Styela clava: one gene and its partner. The protein of the gene in region 1 purifies or fractionates together with the protein of each later gene. This does not show direct contact. Links are inferred from orthologs where the notes say so. Each region holds a gene or a part of one and is shown on either strand. Other genes may lie near its edges.

Region 1 (10,720 bases):
ATCTCAATTCTATATTTTAAAGCACTGCCCTGTTAAGTTAGGATATGTATAGATTTTCTTCCATTAAATTCCTTTTTTTTTTCAATATTTTTGGAACTTATGTTAATTATTTGCTCATATTGACAATTATAAGAAAAAAAAACTGTGACGACTGTGACGCCGTAACATTTAGAATGGCGTTGTCTGGATCAAAGTGGTCTGGATTAGCGAACAACCACTAGCCGGAAACTACCGGTGCGTTTTAAGTTTTTGCATTCACCCAGTTTTTCGTGAATCGGTTTTCTGTTTACTTTCTAATCTCAATGTTGAACGCACTGAAAAATAAATATGGAGGCGCCACGTACAATATTATGTTCTGGAAAGACCAGATCCCAATAATTCTAAAGTTTTGTATAGGGATTTTCGGCGAAAATAGTTGAGTAGCCCTGACTAGCGAACCAATCAAGATTGCGCGTTGTATAGCTTGGAGAACTTCGACAGAAAAGTCTCTGCAGAGCTTCTATAAGATGTCATTAGTACTATTAGCCGTTGTACATGCCTTTGGAGTTAAACCCTTGAAAGCAGGGGTGCACAACCTTTCTGCTATTGGCGGCCACATTGCATTTATTTGTATTCAATACGGCCACCAGGGGTTTGATGAGCGTTTTTTGCTTTTATGACGTCATAACCGCGTATTCGACCCATGCGAGGTGCAGTCTGCACAATTATGAAGTATGTAGGACTACTTGGAAGTATAATATTCGCATTATAAACGGATTTTTTTTATTTCGGGGGACCTATTCTTGAGCAGATACATTGTAGCAAGTTGCATAATGGTTGCACAATTTTGAAAAAAAATCGAAAGTCGGATAAGGGGGAGGGGTGGTCTTCCCCACTTTCTTGTCCCCAAGAGTATAATAAAATGTCAAATATTTTAATGAATTTATTGGACACGTAGTGGATCGTTTCAATATTATGTTGATCTTGTTGTTTGATACAGAATACCACACCTAGTGGAAATATTAAAAAACCGCTTTTCTCTTCGAATACTGGACCAATTGCTTTGAAAATTTCAGTGGTTGAAGATGAAATTTTTCCCCAGAAGGCTATTACTTTTACTCATTTTAAATATTTCTGTTAGCTCTGAGAGATCTGTTTTTGTTTGCTATGACGTCATTAAACGTTCTGCGGGCATCGGACGCCATTTTGTGTCCTACTAGTCTGTACTGCTTCGCTTGGTGTGAATATATTTGTAGACTGACGGCACGGTAAACCGTACTGCGAACAGACGTGTCCATATATTTGGGCGTAGCTCTCTTGTTCTATACAAGTTTGCAAAGCATAACCGCCAAATCCTCTATTCTGAACTTTTATTTTGTTTATAGGATTTTGTAGGTGTACGGCCGCACTATTTTTTCACGACGGCCGCAGGTTGTGCACCGTTGCTTGAAATGCATGAATAAGCGTCGTATTGAAAAACAAATTGACACACCTCCAAAATTTTGGACTGGCTCCATCCTTGCCTATGAAGACTCTCTATAGCAGTGGTTGTCAAATTTTTTGAGCCGCGCCCCTATTTAGAATTTATCAAGTATTTATCCCAGGGCAGAGGAAAGTCGGTAAGCCGGCTTAACCATATGGCGAACCACGGCCTCTCGTCCGGTTACCATTTCATGTCGGGTATGGGATAAGTTACAGTAGTTATTTGTTTTCGGAGGCATGGACACAAATAGGTAGAATATTTTTGAAGTCACATATTATCGGAAGATGGTTTAAATATATGATGTAAATTTCTTTTTAACAATGATCCAAAGAGAAGTTGATAAGCGTGAACTATTCTTGGTGAACATTTGTTTCACATGGAAAGTGACTCGGCAGTGTTGCGCATCGTGCTAAGCGTTAGGAAGCTGGTATTGATTACATTTCGTCTCATAATATTTAGAATCCATTCTCTTGCTAAAGTGAGCCAAATCATCAAAGGATAGAAATTGATGTTTAAAACATTGCAGACATTCAGTCAGACTTAGAATGTGAATTCATAGGCTCAAATCTTATTCCTATTATTAAGAGAATACTCAGATTAAAAATCTGTATTTATTTTCATGATACAGAATTGTATCGAAACTTGTACAAATTTTTATCTGCACCTCCACTGAATATAATGTCATCATTACTCCAATCCAAACACATAACTTTATCTTGGTGTGCATTCACATCAAAAAGTGGAGTTTGCGGACTTCGTATATCCCATAATTTAACTGTATAATCGAGAGATCCAGACACTAGTTGATATTGATTACTGGGTGACCACTTTACACAGGTGATCCATCCAGTATGTGAAGTTAGATTACATTTAATTAAAGATCCTTTAGAGAATATTTCATCTTTTCCTCGTGGATCCCAAATTCTGATATGCCGATCCGAACTTCCGGTCGCAAGTAGATTACTATGAAAAGAGTAGTCACATGCTAAGAATACTTTTGCTCCACGCAAGTTTAATTTTTCTTTACCCTCATTTATGTCCCAAACATTGATTGTATGATCCCAAGACACACTGCATAAATCGGAAGATGATAACCATACAAGTGATGACACTGCTTCTCGGTGACCTGCTAATGTCGATTTTGGAACTCTAGTAACACCACGCTGCTCTATACGCTGACGTTTTTTCTTGTTTCTTGCTTTTCGAAAATCTTCTGGCTCATTTGAGTCATCTTGTGGAACAGGAGATGTCGACCATAATTTTATTGAACTGTCCCACGAACCGGTAGCAAAGGCTTCCATTTCAGGATGAACTGACACGCAATCAACACTTTTAGAATGCCCCCGGCAGCAAAATAAAGGTTTTATAGTTTCTTCACCTTTTTCCCATTGCCATAAAATGGCACTTTGGTCCTGGGATGAGCTTATCAAATAAGCAGTCTTATCATTATTGACACGATTTACCCATGATACTGCCTTTACAGGTTCTGTATGACCGAAACCATATATACAAGGTTTTGAACTATCCATATTCCAAATTGATACAGTGCAATCATACGATCCTGTCAAAATGAATTCTTTTGTACTTTGTACACTGCTAATCCAATCATCCTGTGTAAATTGATCTTCTGGTTTCGGACTTTCTTGTTTCAAAATGTATTCAATTTCCACAACCTTTTCTGTCGATATACCTTTATTCTCGATGTATTGGTTAAGTGGAATTCTCAAAAACTCTCCATTCACAAGAAAATCAAATTCCATATTTTGATATTCATTTTCATCATCTATCGCATCTTTGACTCCTTCCTTCAAAACTTTATTTACGAGATTTGTTAATTCTGTAACAGTTACTTCTCCCGGCAGTTCAAACATGGTATCTGCAATCTTATATTTCTCATCCTGAGTTACAAGCTTAGCTTGAATATGATCCGCCATATTGTTAGGTATCTTTTAAAACAAAATATTATTAACACATTATTACATAAAGAGTACATGTGAATGAGGCTCTTTGACACACGATTTACGTTCGTTCATTCACTGAATATGCAGAAAAAATGTGAATCACATCATAAAAAATATTGTTTTTTATACAGTGATTTCATGCGTCCACCCCAAACGCTCTATAGATACATTGATATCTGGATATGCAAGACATATTGTTTTATTTCTGGTTCAGCATTGCCAAGCAAATTAATACACCCCAGGCAGCCGGGATAAATGGTGGACAAGAGGCTTGTACCTGTGATCATGAAAATGTGATGTTAACATAGTTAATTACAACGCTTCATCCTTTGCATTAGAATATAATAAGAAACATGAATTATTCAACATTGGCCTATGTCTGTATGTATTACATATAATCGGATGAAGGCAACCAAACCCAAAATAATGGGTCTCGTGTAGTTTCATACCATAACTAACTTGTAAAGATTTTTGGGGTCTGGTATAGTTTAGTACAACATGTACTTCTAGTTGACCTGGCTCAACAATTTTTGCATATGTCAATCCTAACCCCCAACTGACTACGTCACCGAAAAATTACGTCATTTCGACGTCACAGTGGCGTAATAAGGCCCTCCGAAGCCAGTCTGGATTTCAGGGCCTTTTCGAACGAGAAATCGGGCGTGCAATCAGAAATTCCCGCGTGCAAATAAGAATTTCTGGCGTGCAAAACAACTGCGCCCGCTAAACTGATTTCGAACTAAGATGCCTCTCAATACATCCGCGTAAAAATAAGTTGGATCATAGCAAAAATGGACGTTTGACCTTTGACCCCAAAACATCATTTCTATATTTTGTCACTAATTTTGAGAGTGTTTGTGCGACTTTAGATACCGGTACTGTTCAGTACATCCGTGTAAAATTATTGTATTAAAAATGCGCTGAATCAGAGCCATAACTGCCCAGCGTCGGTGAGGAGGCGATTTTTCTCACGGGATTCCTATCATTCAACACGATATGGTGATTTTTGCTTCGCATTTTTCGATCAGGCCAAATCTTGCAAGAAAGTATTAGTCGACAATTGTAAAGTTATAATTTTTTGGCATCTTTATATTACTAGATTATTGATTTAAAAACTATTTAAACCGATTTACATTGGTGAGCAATTGCAAATTTTCGGCGTGCAAAATTGAATTCGCTCGCGTGCATTTTTGTGGAGCGCTAGCGCCCTCGGGCGTGCATCTGCCATGAAATCCAGTCTGGCACCAAAGTACAGAAGTATGTGGATGGTCGTTTAAAACGCGCAGACGATCACCCGAAATCGAGCAAGCAATTTCTCTCGTTTTCTCGCCACAACAATCACTATAGGAGAGAGATCGCCGGCTTTAGCAAGTTCGTTATCGGCGGCGCAGATGTCATTTCGGGCGATCGTAATTATACTTTGGCAATCTCTATGACGTGATGGTGACGCCGTAGTGACGTAATTTTTGGATGGCATAGTCAGGTGGGGGTTAGGAATAGCATATGCAAAATTCGTTATGCTACGCCCACCGGAAGTACTTGTGGTACTAAACTATACTAGACCCCAAAATACTACCGGTACCGTAATTGGTATGCAGGTAATGTACCGGTACGGTACCGGTACCCGGTCATTTATTTTGGTTCTCTGACATAAACAATACAAAAAGTAAACAGACAAAACAAAATGCAGAGATACCTGAGAGACTGGCATAACTTAAAAAGCGTACAATGTACGTGCCCGCCCACCAAAAAAGATGAAAACAAACACAGAAAAACGCGATTTGCAATCGGGCAGTACTTTGAAAGCAATTTAACAAAAACAGCAATTGAAGCAATTGAACAATTGAAGTAAATAATTGAATGCAATAAACTTCTACCTTTTAAATTAAAATAGTGCTTTTCCTACAAAACATGGAATAAACCATTTTGCCTGCCTACGCCTTACGAAAGTCTGCACACGTGCTAGTTGTAGTAGTTCGATTAACTTCAAAGTGACGGACAATGAAAACTAAAATACAGTGGTGTATGGAGTCGAGCATGCTTCTAATGGACGTTTTTGGATACAAAATAGAACTGTGGATTGTTTTGTTCTTGGACACGAAATGGACCTATGGTCATGAATCGTTTTGTTGTTATATCATTTGTTTTGGAATATTCATTGGTTAAAGATTGGGTACTTCTGCAGTATGCGACAGGAGCACCAAAGTTTGTATTTTTCGCTAAAAGGTTATTACTTTTATTTATTTCGAAACTTTTTGTGGGCTCCATGGGATTCGATCAATGCTGAGTTTGTATTTTTCGCTAGAAGGCTATTGCGTTTATTTATTTCCAAAAATTGTATGAAATTTATGATTTGTTTTTGTGTGCGATGAATTCATCAAAATTAAAAATTCCCATCTTGTGGCGGTTCCGCGTTCGTATAACAGCAAAGCGAATTCGTTGAAGACCCCGGTACTTGTAGTCTTTTGTAACCGGTATGTTAGTCGTTGTTTGTAACAGATGGCATAACCGTACTACTTCATGTCCATATATTTGTGCATTGCTCTTTTGTATCTCAACATAGTATAATTTGACAACAAAAAAGTAGAAACTACTGAAAATTTAACAAAAGTATAATTTAGTGTTTAATCTAAACTAAAAACTCGGCTCCACGGTATGATGCATCGCGCTAAGCGTTAGAAATACGCTCGCCACCACTCTAATTATCTTGCGTGGGTTCGAATAAACAAGAGCTGGATATTTCAATGAAATAGAAAATGTCAGATTTACCTGTATCCAGCTCTGTGTAAATATCTCATCCCAACCCCACCGCAATTTAAAAAAAATGACTAACTCAAATTGTACAAGGACAAGAAAATGGCAAAATCATCGCTGTTGAAAGTGGGATTGATAATTACTCCTCATTCTTATTCCTATCTACAAACTAATAACTATACGGCGTCTTAAACACCTATTTGGAAACCCAGCGACAAGCAATTTTTATATCTAATTTGACGAAGTTTATTTAGCGCCGGCCTGGTCTGTTGAAATGGTCGAATCGGTCTCTATATATTCTAACCTGCTTAGAATTAGCTTTCAGTAACCAAACCTGGTTTTATTTTGCACGGGCGGTATCCCCCTGCACCAACTCAAATATTGAAGTCTTGAGTCTGTTCAAGAGTGCTGTACTACTCTCTTGATGAAGTTTAAAGCTGGCCAGAGAAGAAAGGCAACATCTACGAGGCATTGATTATTCGCTGTATAATTAAGGTTTTAAATCTAACCTAAACTAGCAGAATAGTCTAACTTGATTCTCCCCCTGCACCAACTCAAATATTGAAGTCTTGAGTCTGTTCAAGAGTGCTGTACTACTCTCTTGATGAAGTTTAAAGCTGGCCAGAGAAGAAAGGCAACATCTACGAGGCATTGATTATTCGCTGTATAATTAAGGTTTTAAATCTAACCTAAACTAGCAGAATAGTCTAACTTGATTCTTCGCTGCCTATTTTAACATCAATTCCAGCGTATATCTCAAACATCCACAACAACATGGCTTCGATCAATAATACCACCAAACCAAAGCCTAAGCAACGCCTGAGTAGAAGTCTTCCCGATCCAGGCCTTTCACCAATTGGATCTGTATTGCAACAACAGAAGGAACACTCTAACTTCCAGATAAACCTACAGGAGGCAATACAAACAAACATCATGAACCAGTTACCATCCCTAATTGCCAAATGCTTAACAGAAAACTTCAGCTCTGCAAACTTTTCATCAGAATACCTACCAATGAGTCCAGGTCTAAAAGAATGCATGGAGGAACAGATGATATCTCTGAAAGAAATTAAACAAGACCTTGCTTCTATCAGAGAATCACAAAGCTTCCAATCTGAGAAATATGACGAAGTTATTGCAAAGCAAAAAGTTACAGATGAGAAACTTACTCTTTATAGCAAAAAAATACGAGATCTCGAAGAGTTAGTTTACGATCTTGAAGATGAGTTATTTTATGTCACAGAAAAAATAGAAGAACATGAACGTCGATCTAGGATGGATAACCTAGAATTTCATGGCATTCCATCAACCGAAAATGAAGATACTGATGAACTAGTAACACAAATCGGAAAAATTATCCATGTAGACATAAAGCCTTCAGACATCTCCGTAACACACCGCTGTCCAACAAGGAATACCAACATCCATAAACCAATTGTAGCGAAATTCACAAACCGCAAAATCCGAGCCAAGATACTCAAAAATCGAAACTTGATCAAAACCTCTAACAATACAACATCTATAAGAGACTTGTCAAAGGTGTTCGTGGTTGAAAACCTAACCGAAAGAAATAAAAACTTATTTTACCAAGCGAAGGTCCTCAAGAAGCGATGTGGTTACGCCTTTCTGTGGACATCAAATGGCAAGATATTGATTAAAAAGAACAAAGACACGAACACTCTGTCCATAACTGATGAAGACGATCTGGATAAAATAAGATAAGTCCAATGATTTTTCCACTGCTATACTTAAGTAAATTATTAATTCCCCTTATGACCTATTTAAGAACCTTCAGTATCTTTTGGAAAATTTCAAGCTATGACATTCCCCCCATCGCACTAGCCTATTTGATCACAATCTATTACATGTTCTTTAAAATTGTATCCATTATCATCACCTATCTATGACCTAAACAGTGATCCCAACCCAAACTGGGAATCTATCAACTTTCACCCTGAAATTTCTTCTACCCCAAGTCAATATCTTGAAATATCTGATATCAACAGGGTAACGTCAAGTTTTCTACCTTCAGAGTTCATCATTTTGCACCTTAATATTAGATCATTACCTAAATATTCTGATAATTTAGTTGAATTGATTTCCAATTTTTGTACTCCACCTCAAATCATCGCCTTAAGCGAGACCAGGATCATAAGTGACAGTGTTGCGAATGTTAATATCCCTGGGTACACCTTCATACATGCTCCATCCCCAACTCGAGCAGGCGGTGTTGGTTTTTATATTGATAGCAATTTAAATTATCATGCATGCTCTAAACTCGGCTTAGAATTTCCTAACTGCGAAGACATTTGGATTGAATTAAAGAACTTCCAACCAACCTCAAAAATTCAAAATCTTGTTGTTGGTGTAATATATAGGCATCCCAAAAATAATATTCCAGCGTTCACCACAGCAATGTCCTGTCTATTCGAGAAGCTGACAATGGCTAAAAAGCAATTTATAATATTAGGTGATTTCAATTTAAATCTTCTTGATTCTCATAACAATCTCACTACCAAGTATTTAGACATGCTCATGACTAATTTTATATGCCCGCTCATTACCAAACCAACCAGAGTTACCTCGACCTCTCACACCCTTATAGACCATATTTACACCAATACCGTAAATTTCTGCAATTCATCATTTATTTTGCTCAGTGATCTCACTGACCACTTTCCCGTAATGTGCACAATATCAGCAACTACTGGCAATATAAAGACAAACACTCGCATGAAACGTGACATGACTAAATTTTGTGTTGACCTGTTCAGATTGGAGGTTGAGTCGATCTGTAACAATTATACTAGTATTAGCATACATGAGGAAAACTTCAATAGCTCATTCGATCTTTTTCTTAGTCACTTCAAATGGTTGATTAATAAACATGCTCCATTAAGACCATTTTCGCGTAGAGAAAATAAACTTTACTCTAAACCGTGGATTACTAAAGGAATTCGTAAGTCCATCAAACATAAAAACAATATGTTTAGAAAAAAATTCTTAAAGGGAAACTCATCCCAGCGTCTCCACTTCAAAAAATACAAGAACATTTTGACGCACTTGCAGAGAAAATCAAAACAAATGTATTACCATAATATCCTTGAAAACAACAGAGGGGATGTGAAGCACACTTGGAAAACTATCAATGACATTATTAAAGTTAGGTCCAAAAATGAATCCATCGTCTCTGAATTGGAGCTTGAAAATGGTGCCACAGTTTCCGACCCCGCCAGAATATCCGCCGAATTCAATAAATTCTTTTCATCTGTAGGAAAGAAACTTGCTGACAATATTCCACATAGCAAGAAATCTTTCAAAGCTTTCTTGAGTGCTCCCTCACAGCACTCTTTTTTTCTGGAGCAAACGACACCTTCCGAGGTTCACCAAATAATATTGAACCTGAAAAAGGGCAAAGCAGTTGGACATGATGGTATTTCCCCGTTTTTCTTAAAAATAGTTGCAGATATTATTTCTCCAGAACTGAGTCACTTTTTTAATTTATCATTCAATTATGGTATTTTCCCCTCCTCATTAAAGATTGCCAGGGTTATACCAATCTTCAAAAGCGGCAACAAAAATAATCCCTCTAATTATCGGCCAATTTCCATTCTATCTTCAATTGGTCTTATTCTGGAAAAGTTAATATACAAGAGAATGCTAATTTTTTGTACCAAATTCAACTTGATCAATAAATGCCAATTCGGATTCCAACCCGACCACTCTACTAGCCATGCCATCCTAGACTTAACATCATATATTTATGACAAAATAGATAAATGTGAGTTTGTCTGCTGTGCTTTCCTTGATCTAAAGAAAGCCTTTGACACGGTGGACCACAAAATTCTTATTCAAAAGTTGCAACATTATGGTTTCAGAGGTAATGTAAGCAAACTACTAGCTAATTACCTGAGTGGTCGTTTTCAATTTGTTGAATTAGGTTCTCATAAGTCCCCAATGTTGCCCATTCAGTGCGGAATTGTCCAGGGTTCAATTATCGGGCCTTTGGCTTTTTTACTCTCTGTAAATGACTTGTCGAACTGCTCTAATCTTCTAACCAAGCTCTTCGCCGATGATGCCTGCCTGCTTGCTAGTGGAAAAGACTTGACCACACTCCAACACACTGTAAACTCAGAAATAAATAAAATATATGAGTGGATGTTATGCAACAAACTTACTGTAAATGTCGAAAAATCTAAAGTCATGGTTTTCAGCCGAAAATCGCTAACAACACATGCCAACATTCTAATCAAAATCAGGGGGGTTGCCTTGGAAGTCGTCCAATCCTATATATATCTCGGGCTCCATATAGATAATAATTTAAAATGGAACACCCATACTATCGAATTACATAAGAAATTGTCGAGATCGGTTGGGATATTGGGAAAACTCAGACATTATGTCCAGGATGCCACCCTGCGAACTGTCTACTTTGCTCTCTTTCAATCCCACATACAATATGCCATAACCGCTTGGGGCTCAGCAGCGCAAACTAACATTCATAAATTGGAGATCTTACAGAATAAAGCTGTTAGAACCCTCT
Region 2 (11,071 bases), on another chromosome or scaffold:
AACAAACTTCAAACAAACATCTGCTTCTTAATTTACTAAAAATATTTCCATACATTTCCCCTCGCGGGTAGCGTAGCGACCTTCCCCTGGATGGTTAGGCAACCCGAAAGCACTGAAAGTGCGTATGCACAGTATAGAATCAAATTTCGTTGCACGAAAGTCAATAGCTAAAGCTAACTACTCTAAGCGACCGTGAATCACTATTATCTGAAGAACCACAGGGCCGATCCGGACGAAACTTTGCATGTAGCGGGGTCTAGTTACCAAACAAACACAGAAAATTTTTGGGAGCGATCGGGCCAGAGGAAGTGTGCCAAAACGGGATTTTAGTGTCCCGGAGCTGCTGATTGGTCAATCGGCTGTCCGTCAAGTCACGCGAGAGTGAGTTTGGGGTTTAGAGGCCGTTTAGCTCCGTTTCCGGGGTCGGAAAGCGTTTGCCCGAGTATTGGGAATTTTTCCAAGTATATTTGGGGGTGGGGGCAGTGCCACCGCCCCCCCACTGGTGAGAAAACGTGTGGAAAGCCACGCCCACTTAGGTAATATCGTTTTGGGGCTATTAGGAGCACTTGGAATTGGTTTTTGGGCAAAGTGATGCTCAAATCTCAAAGGGACCAATATATAGAATATTTCACCACCTCAACTTTGGGACATCCCCCTCCCAATCGCCCTCCAGTGGCGTAAGAAGGTTGCGCACCTAAAAACGAAGCTATCAGAGAAATAAAATAGATAGGTATGTTGGGAAAATTTAGTTTAATGCTTTTTTCAAGAAATTTTTTTTCTCTCACTCCCCAGTCATGGTCTAGTGATTTTGGCCTATTGCAGGCCTCTGAAAGGACCTGTTGAGAAAGTAAAGGCACGGGCATGTTTAAAAAAATTATTTGAATCTATTTTGAAAGAAATTTTATTTCTCCATCTCCTCAGTCACGCTCCAGTGATTTTACGTTATATCTGGAGAATGGTAGAAGGTAGAGGTGCCATATTTGGGTCATACAAGGTAGTTGAGGTCTAGTTTATGTCAAAAAAAATTCGTCACGGTTGAGTGATCACGGACCTTATAATTGGAAAAATTCGACTCCGGTTAGTGGTGATCAGTTTATTACAGGGTATTTGAACTTCTTAATGGACTAGCGGGGTCGGGGGGCACAGCGCCGGACGAATTTCCGTCATTCGTCCGGCGCAACGACCCGGGTCCTCCAACAAACTTCAAACAAACAAATGCTTCTTAATTTACTAAAAATATTTCCATACATTTCCCCTCGCGGGTAGCGTAGCGACCTTCCCCTGGATGCTATTCCGCCCACGTCAGTGCATATGGCAACGATAGTTGCAACAGAAATCGAAAGCCGGCGGCCAAGTGTATGATATGTGGGTAATATAGGCGACGGCTCTAGTAGTGAGTGTTTTCGGAGAACCGCAAATGGTAGAGACACGCCCGAGGTGTCAAAAGATGGGGGACGGGGGGAAACTAACAAAGAAAATTTTTCGGAACGATCGGGCCAGGGCAAGTGGGCCAAAACTGGCTTTTAGTGGCCCAAAGCTGCTGATTGGTCAATGGGCTGTCAGTCAAGTCACGCAAGAGTGATTTTGGGGTTTAGAAGCCGTTTGGCTGCGTTTCCGGGCCGGGAAACGGTTCGCCCGGGCATTGGGAATTTTTCCAAACATGTTTGGGGGTGGGGGAAGTGCCCCCGCCCCCCCAGTGGTGAGAAAACGTGTGGAAAGCCACGCCCACTTGGGTAATATGGTTTTTGGACGATTAGGAGTCTTTGGAATCGGTTTTGGGGCAAAGTGATGCATATTTATGGAAGGGACTAATTAATAGAATATATTACCACCTCAACTTTGGGGATTCCCCTTCCCCGTAACGGTCCAGTGAGTTCGGAATGTTGCGCTTAAGATTTGAGATATTGAGGAAAAAAAATACATAGGTAGGTTGAGAAAGTTTAGTTTAATACTTTTTTCAAGAAATTTTTTTGCTCCCGTGCCTCTGTCACGGTCTAGTGATTTTGGTCTTTTGCCGGCTTCTGAGAGGTCATATCAAGAATCTAAAGGCATGGGCGTGATCAGAAAAATTATTCCAATCACGTATCAGCAAAATTTTTTTTCTATTAGCCTTCAGTCACGGTCCAGTGATTTTAGGCCATATCTCGAGAACGGTAATAGATAGGGGTCTCGTATTTGGGGTATACGAGGTAGTTGGAGTAAAGTTTATGCCTATAGAATTTCGTCACGGTCGAGTGATCACTGACCTCAAAATTGATAAAAATATACTCCAGTCCGTACCGTTGAAACCCTTTATGTTAGGGGGGGCCGATGGCGTCGGTCGGATCATGCCGCGATCCGTCCGACGCAACAGATTGCGGCTCGAGCGTCGTAGACAAAACCGGCCTGAGCCCAACCAACCATTTGTGCGCCCGCGGCCCCCCTCGTCGTGTGCCGCAGGCAGACGTTTATTCTGGATGCTATTCCGCCCACGTCAGTGCATATGGCAACGATAGTTGCAACAGAAATCGAAAGCCGGCGGCCAAGTGTATGATATGTGGGTAATATAGGCGACGGCTCTAGTAGTGAGTGTTTTCGGAGAACCGCAAATGGTAGAGACACGCCCGAGGTGTCAAAAGATGGGGGACGGGGGGAAACTAACAAAGAAAATTTTTCGGAACGATCGGGCCAGGGCAAGTGGGCCAAAACTGGCTTTTAGTGGCCCAAAGCTGCTGATTGGTCAATGGGCTGTCAGTCAAGTCACGCAAGAGTGATTTTGGGGTTTAGAAGCCGTTTGGCTGCGTTTCCGGGCCGGGAAACAGTTCGCCCGGGCATTGGGAATTTTTCCAAACATGTTTGGGGGTGGGGGAAGTGCCCCCGCCCCCCCAGTGGTGAGAAAACTTGTGGAAAGCCACGCCCACTTGGGTAATATGGTTTTTGGACGATTAGGAGTCTTTGGAATCGGTTTTGGGGCAAAGTGATGCATATTTATGGAAGGGACTAATTAATAGAATATATTACCACCTCAACTTTGGGGATTCCCCTTCCCCGTAACGGTCCAGTGAGTTCGGAATGTTGCGCTTAAGATTTGAGATATTGAGGAAAAAAAATACATAGGTAGGTTGAGAAAGTTTAGTTTAATACTTTTTCCAAGAAATTTTTTTGCTCCCGTGCCTCCGTCACGGTCTAGTGATTTTGGCCTTTTGCCGGCTTCTGAGAGGTCATATCAAGAATCTAAAGGCATGGGCGTGATCAGAAAAATTATTCCAATCACGTATCAGCAAAATTTTTTTTCTATTAGCCTTCAGTCACGGTCCAGTGATTTTAGGCCATATCTCGAGAACGGTAATAGATAGGGGTCTCGTATTTGGGGTATACGAGGTAGTTGGAGTAAAGTTTATGCCTATAAAATTTCGTCATGGTCGAGTGATCACGGACCTTAAAATTGATAAAAATATACTCCAGTCCGTACCGTTGAAACCCTTTATGTTAGGGGGGGCCGATGGCGTCGGTCGGATCATGCCGCGATCCGTCCGACGCAACGGATGGCGGCCCGAGCGTCGTAGACAAAACCGGCCTGAGCCCAACCAACCATTTGTGCGCCCGCGGCCCCCCTCGTCGTGTGCCGCAGGCAGACGTTTATTCTGGATGGTTAGGCAACCCGAGAGCACTGAAAGTGCGTATGCACAGTATAGAATCAAATTTCGTTGCACGAAAGTCAATAGCTAAAGCTAACTACTCTAAGCGACCGTGAATCACTATTATCTGAAGAACCACAGGGCCGATCCGGACGAAACTTTGCATGTAGCGGGGGCTAGTTACCAAAAGAACACAGAAAATTTTTGGGAGCGATCGGGCCAAAGGAAGTGGGCCAAAACGGGATTTTAGTGGCCCGAAGCTGCTGATTGGTCAATCGGCTGTCCGTCAAGTCACGCGAGAGTGAGTTTGGGGTTTAGAGGCCGTTTAGCTCTGTTTCCGGGGTCGGAGAGCGTTTGCCCGAGTATTGGGAATTTTTCCAAGTATATTTGGGGGTGGGGGCAGTGCCACCGCCCCCCCAATGGTGAGAAAACGTGTGGAAAGCCACGCCCACTTAGGTAATATCGTTTTGGGGCTATTAGGAGCACTTGGAATTGGTTTTTGGGCAAAGTGATGCTCAAATCTCAAAGGGACCAATATATAGAATATTTCACCACCTCAACTTTGGGACTTCCCCCTCCCAATCGCCCTCCAGTGGCGTAAGAAGGTTGCGCACCTAAAAACGAAGATATCGAGAAATAAAATAGATAGGTATGTTGGGAAAATTTAGTTTAATGCTTTTTTCAAGAAATTTTTTTTCTCTCACTCCCCAGTCATGGTCTAGTGATTTTGGCTTATTGCAGGCCTCTGAAAGGACCTGTTGAGAAAGTAAAGGCATGGGCATGTTTAGAAAAATTATTTGAATCTATTTTGAAAGAAATTTTATTTCTCCATCTCCTCAGTCACGCTCCAGTGATTTTACGTTATATCTGGAGAATGGTAGAAGGTAGAGGTGCCATATTCGGGTCATACAAGGTAGTTGAGGGGTAGTTTATGGCAAAAAAAATTCGTCACGGTTGAGTGATCACGGACCTTAAAATTAGAAAAATTCCACTCCGGTTAGGGGTGATCAGTTTATTACAGGGTATTTGAACTTCTTAATGGACTAGAGGGGTCGGGGGCACAGCGCCGGACGAATTTCCGCCATTCGTCCGACGCAACGACCCGGGTCCTCCAACAAACTTCAAACAAACATCTGCTTCTTAATTTACTAAAAATATTTCCATACATTTCCCCTCGCGGGTAGCGTAGCGACCTTCCCCTGGATGGTCAGGCAACAGTGTAGCACTTTAGTGCGTATGCACAGTAATGGTCAAAAGACTTTGCGCGTAGGGCAAAAATAATGTGACGAAGTCTCTTGGCTAAGACCCATCGAGTTACCATTTCCCAGAAAACTGGCGGGCCGATCGGAACGAAACTTGGCATGTAGTAGGGTGCAGTTACCAAAATAGCAAATAAAATTTTTCAGAACGATCGGGCCAAAGGAAGTGGGCCAAAACGGGCTTTTGGTGGCCCAAATTTAAGGTTGCGTGACATTAATTATTTCAAGCTGTCAATCAAGTCTCGCAAGAGTGATTTTGGGGTTTAGAAGTCGTTTAGCTGCGTTTCCGGGGCCAGAAAGCGTTTGCCCGAGTATTGGGATTTTTTCCAAGTGCAATTGGGGGTGGGGGCACTGCCACCGCCCCCCCAGTGGTGAGAAAACGTGTGGAAAGCCACGCCCACTTAGATAATATGGTTTTTGGGCTATTAGGAGCACTTGGAATTGGTTTTGGGGCAAAGTGATGCTTAAACCTCAAAGGGACTAATATATAGAATATTTCACCACCTGAATCTTGGGAATTCCCCCTCCCAATCGCCCTCCAGTGGCGTAAGAAGGTTGCGCACCTAAAAATTGAGCTATCGAGAAATAAAATAGATAGATATGTTGGGAAAATTTAGTTTAATGCTTTTTTCAAGAAATTTTTTTTCTCTCACTCCCCAGTCATGGTCTAGTGATTTTGGCTTATTGCGGGCCTCTGAAAGGACCTGTTGAGAAAGTAAAGGCATGGGCATGTTTAGAAAAATTATTTGAATCTATTTTGAAAGAAATTTTATTTCTCCATCACCTCAGTCACGCCCCAGTGATTTCACGTTATATCTCGAGAATGGTAGAAGGTAGAGGCGCCATATTCGGGTCATGCAAGGTAGTTGAGGTCTAGTTTATGTCAAAAAAATTTCGTAACGGTTGAGTGATCACGGACCTTAAAATTGGAAAAATTCGACTCCGGTAAGGGGTGATCAGTTTATTACAGGGTATTTGAACTTCCTAATGGACTAGAGTGGTCGGGGGCACAGCGCCGGACGAATTTCCGTCATTCGTCCGGCGCAACGACCCGGGTCCTCCAACAAACTTCAAACAAACATATGCTTCTAAATTTACTACAAATATTTCCATACATTTCCCCTCGCGGGTAGCGCAGCGACCTTACCCTGGATTCTTTTTGATGTTTTCCTTTTAAGTTCTTCAAACTTCGTTAATACTTTTTCCCATTTATCTTATCCAGTAAAATATCATTTATAACTACGGATACCAATATAAATCTGCTTATTTTCGCATTCTCTAATACATTTCAGTTTTTGATTTTTGTGCTTTGTCAACTTGATAATTGCTTCTTTCCATATAATGCTTCAGAAATGACCATTAGATATTTTTGCCATGCAATGTCTCCTGTATCAGAATTGCATCGGTGTAACGACGGTGGTTGGAGTCCTGTTTTTTACGAAGGGTTTGTTTTCACGTTTTTGAAGAAAAGCACAAGCATGTCACCATGCGATGCTTTTGCCATATTTTCCCATGCTGACCTACTGACTGACTGATAGTGCCTGATTATTGAAGAGTTTTTTGTCAGCAAGTTTGTAATTGATTGATTTATTTTTCTGTCCAGAGTAGCCTACCGTACGTCTGTCTGTACGTACCATACCGACATACTTTCCTGCTGTCAGGTCAGGGTACCGGTATTGCAGTATTGCATAAACAATTTGATTTGTAGTAATTAAAAAGATCTCACACTTGGATTAGAATGAGGAAGTCAATTGAAAAGCGGAAGCTGGATGACGATAGTAATAAAGTAAGTGACAATTCTGTAAAACTGAAGATTTTATTTCCAGATTTTAAAATATTTAAAATTCCACAAACTTTCAAATATTGGTAACGTCATAAGTTATTACTACTGACATAAACAGCATTGGGACCAGCAGTTACTAAATTACCTGACCTAACCTACTCCAGTACTCCTCTATGCACTAATCCTGTAATCACATATGCAGATATGAGACAATATAAATACTGAAATATTTTTTGACGGTCATATTATTATTCTATTTATTCAGATTCTTGACACTAATATAAAGATAGAGGAGTCCTCTGAAGATGAACTGAGTGAAAATGAGTCAGGTAATTAACATTGTGTTTATGAAATTTATTGATCTTGTTAAATTCCCGAGAACATTTTCATCAATTCATTTCTTAAAATTTTGACTCAATCTGTCACTCTTGGTAACAAAATTTTTTCTAGAAAATTTCATTTTCCAATCCTACCTGCTCAAATAATCATGCTTGAAATTTCAAACCCTGGGAGTCGAAAACATTTACTTTATGAAGATTCAAACATGACGCCATTCCAATTAAAGCACGAACAGAAACATCGGACTAAAATTCCAATAATATGTCTATATTTATTTTGCGAGGTTTTGCTCGCTCTCCAGAATTTTCTCTTTCTATTAGTGTTTATTAATGTATGAATTTTTCAAGATTAACTATCTATCTTATCCGCACTGCTGAATGGATTCATTTTGTCAATATTTACGCTATTGTACGCCAACTCAATTTTTTGGGCTATGCTTTATTCCATTCATTATTTTCCCAGATTTTGATTTATCAAGTGAAGATTCTGGTGTTGATGAAGATTATTTAAAATTGAGTGATGAAAGAAATCAGGATCAAGAGAAAACAGAATCTTCATCAATCATAAAGCGAGTAACACCATCCTCTGACGTTACAGATGCCAATAATGATGATAATGACACATCTGATGAAGAGGTAACATTGTATATAATATAAGAATATCATAGATCTGTTGAATGTGCACTTCAACAAAGTCTGTTGTTGCGAATATCCAACAACAAATAATCTTTGAGTGAATTTGTCTAAAAAAACGACATCAAAAGAAAAATATCATTCAGAAAGGTCTATTGCTAAAATTATTATTATTATTAAAATTATAAAATGAATTTTTTATCACATTTATTTGAAACATTTAATTTAATTTTACATTTATTTGAAACAGAACCATAAAAAAATATAGTCTATAATTAGTTTTACCCAGCTTGTAATAAATTAGATAGGCAATGTCGAACGAGAACGATTCCACACATGTCATTAGATATCAGTTGCTGCTAGTACAAGTATGAAAGACATGAGTAAGCGTCATATGGAAAAGAAAATTTCTCAGAGATAGCCAACAGTTTTCAAATTACTGCCTATTGCTAAATGTGAATATCTCAATTCGAATCACCTGGCGTAGCACCATTTTTCCTCCCATGTTTCCGATGGTGTTTATGTAATATGTATATTTTCTTCATTTACAGGATATTAGGAACACAGTAGGAAATATACCTATGAAATGGTACGAGAATTTCCCACATATCGGTTATGACTTGGATGGGAAACAAATATCTAAACCCATCAGAAATATGGATGAACTGGATAAATTTTTAGACAAAATGGACAATCCTGATTATTGGTAAGATATTGGAATCAAGGATTTATTTTTTTATTTAAGGAATTTTAATAATTTATTGTCTGGTGTTTCTATATTACAGCTGTACCTTGTGTTTTCTACAATTCTTGGTTAAATAAGAGTCTCTAAACTCTTTACTTTAATGATCTGGGCTTTGAAAATATAATATGGGTAATATCTGAACCACCTACTGCTGTCTATAGTATTGGTGCTAATTCTATTTATGATTTCATTTTCTCAGGAAAACTGTTTATGATGAAAACACAGCTCGTGATCATAAATTGACTGAAGATGAATTGCAACTTGTGTCAAGACTTAAGACTGGAAAATTTTATAATTCAACAATCGATCCCTATGAGGTAACATATCAATTTGTTTTAAAAATAAGCGTCAAACTTGAAGACTTAATAAGGGAATAGATACATAAATTATTTTCCCCTAGATTTTGTGAGACATACCTTTAGTGGATTTTGTTGGTAAAGCAGGTATAGACTCAGGTGTACTCCTGTATTTTGTGTACCAGGTCAGGGTTGGGCCATAATCTTATTCCGATTTTTCTCATTTTAGTTCTATTACGAGTTCGTGGACTGTCTGTGTTAGCCAAGTGAATATACCCCCTGCCCATAGGTTTCAGTCCCTTTATACAACTTGATGTAAAGTAAGCGAACAAAATTAGTCACCTCCATTTTGGTACACACACTTCTGGAGCGTCGTTATAGGTATGAAATAAAAAAAGAGTATGGAAGCTCGGGAATAGGAGATATGTATCTCAGTATAATTAGCCTCCCTGGCTTGTTTCTATTGAATGAAGGAAGTTTTTGCTTTTTATTTCAAAGATCTGGATTATAAGGTTTTGTCTTTTGCTATTTAGCCTTATGTCGATTTCTTCACACATGAAAAAATGATTCATCCTATCAACAATGCACCAGCACACAAGAGAAGTTTTACACCATCACATCATGAAAAACTTAAGGTCAGTAGTAAGAATTTTGAGTTGGCGAAATGAAACAGTTTGCTATTTGAATTGTGACCAACAGGTATATGTTTGATGGCTAGAACTGTATTTCAACAAAGTGTTTTTGTTTTAAAATCATTAAATATTCATCTTTCAAAATGATCAAATGGGAATGGGTTAGGCTTTTCAGTTTCCATTCAAATTTTGACCTTGCTCACCAGTATTGGAAGTTCAAAATTTCGAACGAATATTTCCCGAATTCTCCGGGAATATTGAAACACAAATCTGGCCTCGACTCTGATATTAATGTAAACACGTAAAACTACAGATTTAACAGTTTTTGTTGAATACATTTCTAGGTTGGGAAACTTGTGCATGCCATCAAGATGGGTTGGTTAAAACCTAGAAAAGAGAAAAAAGAAGATGAACAACCTGTATTTTTTGATTTGTGGGCAGATAGCAAAGATGAAAACTTGGTGAGCATAAAGAAAATATGAAATTTTTGCTCAATTATCGGTTTCAAATATTTTGAAAAAATTACTATGTAGGCCACTCTGTAAATATTCTAGTCTGCATAGATCGTTTGCCTGTTTACTAATTAAATCCATAAACATGAAACATCCAACTTCTTGGCTATTCCTAAAACTGGTAACTCGTAACGGTATCAGAAGGCATGGTTTGTCATATGATTATGTCTCTCTCTCTCTCTCTCTCTCTTTGTGATTGCAATAATAATTGAATAGTAAAATATTTTATATTTTTTCTTGTATTAAATTCCAGTCACACAGTCAAATTGCTCGTCGTAAGATGCATATTCCTGCACCAAAAGTCAAATTGCCAGGACATGAAGCTTCTTATAATCCTCCACCTGAATATCTAATGTCCGAAGAAGAGGTGACTTTAATTTTTTCTTTTAGCTTATAAATCATCCAGTAAAAGTTTAATAGAAGATTACCCATCGTGGAAAGTACTGTTTTTTTCATTATTTCAACGAAATTTGAAGTTGGGAGTTTAGTACATTTTATGATTTTTTCGAGAATTGTGATATATTAAAATTGTATCGGACCTGTATTCGCAACCAACGTCAATTTTCTAACCCAGTTGTTCTCTACCGGGGTTTCACCGGGGCAGTCATGGAGTTCTACAAGTTTCCATTCAAATTCGAGAATGTTTATATGTATATTGTTCAAATATAATACCTATTAGGTTTTTCCTCTATTATTAAACTTGCTACGCTGATAAAGACACTCTATTTTTAATAGCAATTTACTCGAATTATCCTATTTCAATCAAAAAATACTCTATCTAGAGACTGGCATGGGAACAAGAGGATCCAGAGGATAGGAAAACAAATTTTGTGCCTCAAAAATATGATTGTTTACGGAAAGTTCCTCAGTATCCTAAATTTATTCAAGATGCTTTTGCAAGATGCCTTGATTTATATTTATGTCCAAGACAACGAAAAATGAGAGTAAGTTTGCATTTCTAGTCTTCTGGCTGAAAGGGGGCAGGATTTCATTCTTTATTTGAGAAACTAGAGCACAAATTCCCAAACTTTAAAGTCATAGATTTACTGTCTGTAATACAAACTTTTGGGGAGAAACTTTCACTTTACTGATTAAATTATCAAATTTTCATAATATATGCAAATTTGATCATGCGATGCACAAGTTTGCTTTTGTGTGCAAAAAGTCATACAATGTTACAAGTGGTCTCTGAAAAGATTTGATCATTTTATGTCAAGTTCTAAGTACAGGTAGTAACGCAAATTTGTGAAATCAGT

The links.
Region 2: the proteins of ribosome biogenesis protein wdr12-like (region 1) and ribosome biogenesis protein bop1-like purify together in Homo sapiens (affinity purification with western blotting; 6 studies listed by BioGRID and IntAct, with this or other methods). This does not show direct contact. The link is inferred for Styela clava from reciprocal best matches to the Homo sapiens genes WDR12 and BOP1.

Annotation. Positions count from the first base shown.
Region 1 is NC_135261.1:8,151,598-8,162,317, forward strand, and holds ribosome biogenesis protein wdr12-like, read right to left. Parts: upstream 5,150-10,720; 5' UTR 5,135-5,149; coding exon 5,120-5,134; intron 3,409-5,119; coding exon 2,080-3,408; 3' UTR 2,060-2,079; downstream 1-2,059.
Region 2 is NC_135260.1:8,269,073-8,280,143, reverse strand, and holds the start of ribosome biogenesis protein bop1-like, read left to right. Parts: upstream 1-6,357; 5' UTR 6,358-6,614; coding exon 6,615-6,662; intron 6,663-6,924; coding exon 6,925-6,988; intron 6,989-7,460; coding exon 7,461-7,633; intron 7,634-8,181; coding exon 8,182-8,336; intron 8,337-8,574; coding exon 8,575-8,692; intron 8,693-9,204; coding exon 9,205-9,306; intron 9,307-9,647; coding exon 9,648-9,764; intron 9,765-10,068; coding exon 10,069-10,182; intron 10,183-10,597; coding exon 10,598-10,759; intron 10,760-11,071. UniProt on the Homo sapiens protein: Component of the PeBoW complex, which is required for maturation of 28S and 5.8S ribosomal RNAs and formation of the 60S ribosome.